2 linked regions of the Mus musculus genome follow. Each later gene encodes a partner of the first gene's protein in a complex. Links are inferred from orthologs where the notes say so. Each region holds a gene or a part of one and is shown on either strand. Other genes may lie near its edges.

Evidence for each region.
Region 2: the proteins of Aagab (region 1) and Ap1s3 are in contact, whole or in part, in a crystal structure (PDB 9DDT), measured with the Homo sapiens proteins. The link is inferred for Mus musculus from reciprocal best matches to the Homo sapiens genes AAGAB and AP1S3. Residues at the interface, in NP_078942.3 of Homo sapiens: Asn51, Lys52, Tyr53, Tyr54, Glu108, Val109, Met110, Ile111, Gln128, Ile132, Gly135, Phe136, Glu137, Asp151, Phe153, Pro154, Glu155, Arg161, Gln164, Ala165, Asn167, Ala168, Asn169, Val170, Met176; in NP_001034658.1 of Homo sapiens: Arg10, Gln11, Lys13, Arg15, Gln37, Leu40, Ser41, Arg61, Tyr62, Ala63, Ser64, His85, Val88, Asp92, Phe95, Val98, Glu100, Leu101, Asp102, Ile104, Phe105, Asn106.

Annotation. Positions count from the first base shown.
Region 1 is NC_000075.6:63,601,246-63,605,727, forward strand, and holds the start of Aagab (alpha- and gamma-adaptin-binding protein p34), read left to right. Parts: upstream 1-1,400; 5' UTR 1,401-1,453; coding exon 1,454-1,526; intron 1,527-4,482. Other genes in the region: Iqch (IQ domain-containing protein H), read right to left, coding at 1,122-1,172. UniProt on the Homo sapiens protein: May be involved in endocytic recycling of growth factor receptors such as EGFR.
Region 2 is NC_000067.6:79,612,742-79,616,549, reverse strand, and holds part of Ap1s3 (AP-1 complex subunit sigma-3), read left to right. Parts: intron 1-2,209; coding exon 2,210-2,347; intron 2,348-3,457; exon of another isoform or gene 3,458-3,649; intron 3,650-3,808. UniProt on the Homo sapiens protein: Subunit of clathrin-associated adaptor protein complex 1 that plays a role in protein sorting in the late-Golgi/trans-Golgi network (TGN) and/or endosomes.

The sequences.
Region 1 (4,482 bases):
TAGCTGTTAAAAGCCCCCTACTGTCACCACTCGGGTCGAACTCCCCTGCCCTGCACTGTGGAGGGACTTCGTCCTCAGCTAGCTGATAATAAAACCTCTTGCAGTTTGCATCAGGTGTGGTTTTCTCTCGAGATGTTGGGGTGTTGGCCAGCTCATCCCGGGACTTGAGCAGAGGCCCAGCATCGGGGGTCTTACAGAACTTCTTAAAGTGAGACCATCTTAAAGGGACCCATACCTAAACACGGAAAAAAACAAAACAAAACAAAGCAAAAAAAAAAAAAAAAAAACCAAACCAACCTAGCTGTTTCAGAAAAATTGTTCAACTGTCACAAACTGAATTACACTGGAGAAGTCAAGTCTTTGAGAGCTTTCTCCCTAGATTATAAATAAGATATTTCTCCAAGTTTTCATTTTTTATGTTGTTTTGTAATCCAGGTGATCTTAAAAATATGTTTGGTAACGCACACCTTTAATCCCAGCACTTGGGAGGTAAAGGCAGGCAGATTTCTGAGTTGGAGGCCAGCCTGGTCTACAGAGTGAGTTCCAGGACAGCCAGGGCTACACAGAGAAACTCTGTCTCGAAGAAAAAAAAATTTTAAAAAAAGCTTGGGTGTGTGTTCCCAAGCAAGCAGTGACTATTGTAGGTTAAGAAGCACGGGTCCCATAGCTCACGTTCTCTTCGAACTTCTCACCACCTCCTAATGATGAATCTGTTTCTCCTTCACATCCCCAAGCCATGGATGGACTTTAAACATTTCATAATTTATTTTTAAATGGTGCCTTGAGCACCCCAGCCTGCTAGTACAGATTGATAATCCCAGTTACTCAGGAGGCTGAGGCAGGAGGATCACAAGTTCCAGGCCTGCCTGGATTGTAGAGGGTGCTCCAAGACAGTCAATGACCATCTGGGCCCGAAGTATAAGGAAGACAGGTGATGCAGCCTAGCGGTAAAGCACTTGCTTGGCGCTAGCATGTCCTGTGTTCAACCCCCAGAGCATGATGCCCTAAAGTGTAGGCGTTTCCTGCTATAGGGCCGAGAGAATAAATGGTGGTGCTTGGGATCACAGGTTTCGGGGTTCGAGGGGAGGTCTGTGCGGCCGCCAGCCCGGCCTGTTTCCCACCTGGATTAGGATGGATCCAATGGGGTCGCTGTCCTCCTGGGCCTGCGCCATGACTAAGGAGGGCAGAAGACACTAGGCTCCGGAGGTATGGCCTCCTGCGGAGCGCTCCTAGATGGTGCGGGCACCCGTCACCATAGCAACGCGGCGCGCGCGACCGGCGCGCTCCACTGGAGGAGCGGGGAAGGGGGGTGTGAGGGCCAGCCGGAGCCTCGGCTGCCCAGCGCGCGGCCCCGCCCAGCGCGCGTGCCCGGATCATCTCCCCCGCGTGCCCGCTGCAGTGGTACGGCCCAAGGCGGAAGCAGCGCCGGCGCGGAACCCGCTCTGCCGCAGCGATGGCTGCCGGTGTACCCTGCGCGCTGGTTACCAGCTGCTCCGCCACCTTCACCGGGGACCGGCTGGTGCAACGTGAGTAACCCGACGTCTGAGCCGGGCTGCAAGGCCCAGTTCAGAGCCATGGGCGCAGGGCCGGCGACCTCTCCCGGGCTCTGCCCGAGCTGGGCCCTAGGCTCCGGCTCCTCCGCAGGTCTCGGCGCCAGGCGCTTAACCTTCTGCCTGTGTAAAGTGAGGCCGGTTTCTGACCTCCCGCCTCAGGGGTGGTGGCAAGCACCCCCTAAGATGATATTCAAGACCCCGGAAATTGTGCTCTTAGACGAATGTAAGGCGCTGGAGTTGCGGTGTTGTGTTTGGGGGTTATGCCCCTGCTGCTGGGGTAGTGGTTCCTCTTGTGAACTGAAGTGCTCAGCAAAAAAACAAAAAAACAAACAAACAAAAAATGCACGCGCGTTAGTGTTCTGCCAGGATGATGGACTGACCAGAACTCCTGTGATTGTGGAGAGCTGGAATTTTAATAACTGTAGCCAGATTCTCGTGGACTGTCTCTAGTCTCCTTCTTAGCCATTTGTTGCCCACTTCTGTGTCTGACCTAATATCCTCTGACTATCAGGTAAAGTCCTTTTGGGAATAAGCAAACAGACCCCCTAGCTTCCATCAACCCAAAGGCTAAGAATTTTATCAGTTGGTGTCTGAGGCCTACAGCAAGGGCTTCCACGATGTGCTGTAATCCACCAACCTGTTGTTCCCCTCAATGTATTTTTAGAACATCCTGATATGTAGCTTTGTTGTTCCTATAAGAACACCATGGAATTGTTATTGCCACGTTGGAACATTTGACTTGAGGCACCCCTGATTCCTGTTCCCTTTTCATGATCCCTCATATTTGGCTCCAGAATAAACGCTTACTCCCTTAGAGATGAGAGCTGTGGGCGTTCTTGATTCCCTCCCCTTGATTGTGTGTGTGTGTGTAATGTACATACATGCATACTTGTGTGTACATGATATTTGTTGGGTGCCCCCTCACTTGCAGTTACATTTCTTGAGTTCTTTCTGAGGTGAAAGTTCCCCGGAAAAAAATGAGTTTGAGGTGTTACTGCACCCAGTGCTTTTGCTTCTGGACCCTAAGGGCTATAAAATTCAGGGTTTTGTTTTTGTTTTTGTTTTGTTTTTTTTGCCTTTGTTGTGCATACGCGAATATACGTGTGTGTGTGTGTGTGTGTGTGTGTGTGTGTGTGTGTTTTCTGCTTTTTAGTCCCACTGCTCTGTGCATACTGAGCGTGGCACTCTACCTCAGAGATAAACCCCAGCCCCACCCCAAAATGAGCTCTGAAATGTAGGTCAGAGAGACTAGTGAGCTAGAGCTGAGGAGGCAGCTCACTGGCCAGGTCTATGGCTCTGACTGTGGGCAAGTCACTGAACCTCTGCCCTTCATCTTCCTATCTGTGGGCTGAGGATTATGTTTGGCCACAGGCCAGCACGTGGCAAGCATTGGATAAGTGGTTGGCCTTATTATAAAAGCGTATCACCTGTTTAACTCAGGCTTTGCTGAGCCTTAAAGGGGGCACATGAAGAGGTGTCCTGGGAGACCGTGGGTGCTGGCTTGCAAATGCGGCCGAGCCTGTAAAGCATCGTGCAGTTTGTAATTATTTTCTACACCTGTTGACAGAATTAGGCATGCTGTCGTTCCTGCACGGGTATTCTATAACTTGCTTATTCTGAACACTTAGACAGTTCCTTGCTAGGGCAGAAGCTTAGTTACAACATTCATAAATGAGAACCAAACTCTTTGCCATTCTCTTACTTCCCCTAAGCAGTGCTCCCCTTCCCCCATCCCCCACCAGGGAGTGCTCCCCTTCCCCCACCCCCCACCAGGGAGTGCTCCCCTTCCCCCATCCCCCACCAGGGAGTGCTCCCCCTTCCCTCCCACCAGGTCTCCCATCTTTGCCCCTTCTACTTCATGTTGAATTTAGTAAAATTTAGCATATGGAGAAAAAAATGTTAGCTGACATTTTGGTGGTGTTTTTTTTGCCATCTCCCCGGGGCCCCTGCATATTTTCTGTATTTTATAATTATTGTAATTATATAATTCTACTTCATATGTAGTTTTTAGCCTGGTGTGTGTGTGTGTGTGTGTGTGGTGTTGATGATGGATTCCAGTGCCTTGCACGTGTTAAGCAAGTGCACTACTACTGAGTCACACCCTAATCCCCATCCTGATATTTTTTTAACACTAAGTCAAAAAGTACTTTCTATTGTACATCCATGCAGTGAATATACCAGACCTTTCTGAAGGCGTTTATGGGTCTGTATTTATCTGACTTTCAATAAAATGTATATGCATTTAGAGTCCTATTAGTGATAGGTGAATGATCTTTCAAAGGCAGGCTCAGGAATATTATATATTCTGATAGCTATGGTGCTCTGTCTCCCTTTCATCCTCCAAAAAGGTCTTGTGTGTCTCCTAGGCCAGCTCTGAACTTGTCCAAGTGTTGAGCCCGCCGTGCCTGGCCCGGTCCTGTTTCTCAAAGATCAGAACTGGCAATCGTGGTCAGTTCCTTGAAAGAGCTGATCGACCACCAGTAGCCAGCAAATGGTGGCATTCTTCCTTTGTTCTTTAATAGAGACTTTGAACATTATTGGTGTGTGTGTGTGTGTGTGTGTGTGTGTGTGTGTGAAGTTCTACGAAACAGCCCATTTTGTTTCTGTATGCAGAGTGACTTAGGAAACTCTAATTCTTGTTAAAATTAGGTGCCACTCATCAGTGCTCCACACGTCAGCAGGGGAAGTGCAGAAAAGCCAGCAGATGGTTTAAATAAGTAAAGCAGGAAAGAGGGCTGGCCAGTTCTTACAAGGTCATGGGGACGGAGGCCTCAGATGGCGTTAAAGACGGACGGACGGAGTTACACTATTCAGGGAATGGATTTAATTTGGGGATGGAAGACAGAGACCACCACGATGAGTGGCTGTAGTCTAGGTAGGACCCGGGTTTCTGATTGACTGGGATGTGCCTTGATCTGGAAGAGGAATC
Region 2 (3,808 bases), on another chromosome or scaffold:
TATGTACTTATTCATACCATTACTAGCAATGGATATTGGCACTGAATTTCCTGTGGCTATGGGTTCAGTTTGCCTTTCTCTTGACTTCTTGGAGTTACTGGTATTATTAGACATTTATTACCCTCCCCCATCTTGCTTTGTCTGTGAATTGTTTATTATTTTGCTGATGTTTTGTTTGTTTTTCTGTTTTGGTTTTTTGAACTCTTGAATATGAATGTAGAATAGGCTGGCCTTGAACTCACAGAGATCCACTTGCCTCTGCCTTCTGCGTACTGGGGTTAAAGATGTGTGCCACCACTCTTGGTTTTATAGTTTGTTTTTCATTTTGTTTATCTTAGGTAGGGATTTTCAAAAATTCCTTCTGCATTGAGAGATTTATATGATTTTGTCAGTAGGAGAATAAAAGGAAGGGATTTAAAGGAATGACTCAATTCTTGCTGGCATGTGACAGGGTATGGTCATGATCAAACATGGTGGCTGGTAGCTTGTGTGACTGTGGCAGGTGATAAAGTCAGGCAGAGGAAAGCAGAGAGGTAGGGTTGGCAATGTGGAATCCTCTATGCACATGGGAGAATTAAAATCTATCTTGAATCCTTGACCTCATCAAACACAGGGTAGAGCAGGAGGAGTAAAACAGAACCATCCAGAAGGTCTGAGAAGGAGTCTTCAGTGCCAGAGGAGGACTGTTCAATGACACAGCTAAGCTTAAGTGAGCAAGGAAGAAGAAATCTTGTCATCAAGAAACAGATTGGCAGGGGCTAGAAAGATGGCTCAGGAGTTAAGCACACTGACTGCTCTTCCAGAGGTCCTGAGTTCAGTTCCCAGTAGTCACATGGTGGCTCACAACCATCTATCATGGGATCCGATTTCCTCTTCTGGTGTGTCTGAAGACAGCTAGTGTTATATAGTAAATAAATGTTAAAAAAAGAAAGAAAGAAAGAAAGAAAGAAAGAAAGAAAGAAAGAAAGAAAGAAAGAAAGAAAGAAAGAAAGAAAGAAAAGAAAAAAGAAACAGATTGACAAGGGTATCAGATACTTCTGAGGTGAGCTCAAAGAAAGATGGGGGACTTTCAGCTAGATGGTTTAAAGAAAGCAGCTTCAGTTGGGCAGATAGGATGTGGGTGCACAAGAGTCAGTTTCTAGTGACTTGTGGAGTAAGCAGTGTGGAGGACAGCAAGAACATCATAGAAGCATTCTTGGGTTGAAGCGTCCATACAAGGATGGCTTTACTTGTATATCGAGACCTGTCAGTCTCTCTGTTGGTCTTTGACCCCAGTTAATGTGCAGTTTTGATAACTTGAAGCTTCAGTGTCATATGGGAATCTGCTCACAGTACAGGTTTGTAGACCTGATCCAGACCCACTCATCCCTTAGAGCAGGGCTTGCAGGAAGTTTTTAGGAGTCTTAACAGGTAAGTTTGACACATTCAAAAACTGGCAGTTCACTAACCTGACAGCCAAGATCGTGAGACCTGAGTGCAGGAGAATTGAGGTTCTGGACTTACACTTAAAGAGCATCAGGGACCAAGTTTCTGCTTGTGTGTGTGAGCACAGCACCTAGAGGTCTCCCTCCCCTGTGGAGTCTCTTATTTTCCGTTACAACACAAAACATTGCATTAGTTACTTTTCCATTGCTGCTGAAATACTGTGACCAAAAGCAACTTATTGAGAGCAGTTTCTTTTGATTTCTAGTTCCAGAGGCATTCATAAAGGCAGGGGAGGCATGCTAGCGTGGCAGGAGCAAGAAACTGAGGGATCACATCTCGATCTCAGAAAGGAAGCAGAGATCTGCAGAGTATGAACCGGGAGAGGGATGAGGCTATAAACGCCAATGCCTGCTGCTGCTGACCTGCTTCCTTTAGCAAGGCTGTAACCTCAAATGCTCCAAAACCACCCCAAGCGCCACCTGCTGGTGACCAAGTATTCAAATACTTGAGACTATGGGGGACATTTCTCTTTCAAACCACCGCAAACCTTATTATCTAAAGGCATGAGCTACTTTAATAGGATTTGGTTTTTACCTTTGCTAAGGTCTAGAATTCTCTGCTCCCATCTTTATGTCCTTGAACTGTTATGTGGTATTTTGTGTTTGGATATCACCTGAATTGAATGGCAATATTGGAAAAGCTGGAGATGGTGGCAGATGCCTCTCCTGATTCTACTGCAAATTTATCAAAACTTTGTTTGTTTGTTTGTTTTTTTTCTTACCAGGTCTGTGAGCTGGATATTATCTTTAATTTTGAAAAGGCATATTTTATCCTTGATGAGTTTATAATAGGTGGAGAAATTCAGGAAACATCCAAGAAAACAGCAGTCAAGGCCATTGAAGACTCTGATATGTTACAAGAGGTCAGTATGGTTTTCTATGCCTGGGGTAATTCCAGCACTAATTATAATATAGTTAACACTGAGGACTGCACCCACATTTTGTTCTGAGCATAGCGTCCACTTTAAACAATTTGCATGTATTAGCTTACTTAATTTTTTCAGCAATTCTAACTAGGTGTTAGCCTGTTTTTTAGTGAATGAATAGAGACTTGCTGTGAAATGTTCGGCTCATTTTCATAGTTAATAAATATGAAACAGAGCTTTGGACCCTCACGGTTTGGTCCTGAACCTTTGCTTGTCCTGTTTGGCTGAACTTCAGGGTCTGAAAATACCTGACCCTCTGAAGTGTATGAAATGCTTGGTGCTATTCTTTGCAAATGTAATTTTATGAGATGTATAAAAAGACTTTCATTAAAATGTCTGCTCTGCTCTGGGAAGGAAGAACAGCAGCACGTAGTTATTTCATTTGCTGGATATATTAGAGATGGCATTTGTCATTTTAATTGAAATTTCCCACCTCTCTTGGGAAGGCCTTAGGTCTGTGCGCTCTTGTTTGCATGAATAGATCAGGAGCACGGGTAGCCGGATTGCAGAGGTATAAATGGGCCCTGAAGCCTGGGCTTGGTACTCCTCCTGATCCTGTGCTTGGTACTCCTCCTGATCCTGTGGTTGCTCAGAAATATTCTGGAACTTTTCTTTTTAGAAGCATCCCAGATTTGAATCAGACCTAATAGGGGAACATAATCTGCATTAGCTCCTACAAGGACAGTCAAAAAGAGCACTGTGTTCTGTCAACCCTTGCCTTCTAAAAGATATCAAACTTACCTGTTAATTTAGTCTAGACTAAATGATTTAGTCCTAAACCAAGCATGTTTCCGGGTGCCTAAATTCTGTCCCACCTCTCCAACAATATCAGTGGGAAAAGGGACATTTCTTTTTCCCTGTCTGTTCCATTCTACTGGTTGTTTGTTTGTTTGTTTGTTTTCTCTATCAAGACAAAGTCTTATTATGTAACTCAGGCTGGGTTTGAACTCACAATCCTCCTGCCTCTCCCTCCCAATTTGCTGGGATGACAGTCATGTACCACCCCTGGCCTCAGTGGGTTTTTCCATCTTCCTGTTTTCATAACAGGTCAAGAGTCAAGAGGATTTCAAGAATTATAAAGTACCCTTTTAAAATTGGTGCTAAAGTCATTCTTCCTGCTATTTGGAAATAAGAGACTGGTTAAGTTAATAAGACATTAGGCATGATTTCCCAGCAACTGTCTTGGCAGTACTGTGAGCTGATTACTTACTTCTGCCCATGGAGGGACTCCATCCTCAGGTGAGTGCAAATGAAGGAAGCTAAGGGCGGGCTCCCATAAGCAGCTCGGTGTTTGTCAGGCCAATGCATTTATCGCCAGATGTGTTGTCCCCTCAAAGAAATGCACTGAACCTCTCTGAGACTTACTTGACTTTTTCAAATGCCACAAGAAGGGGGATT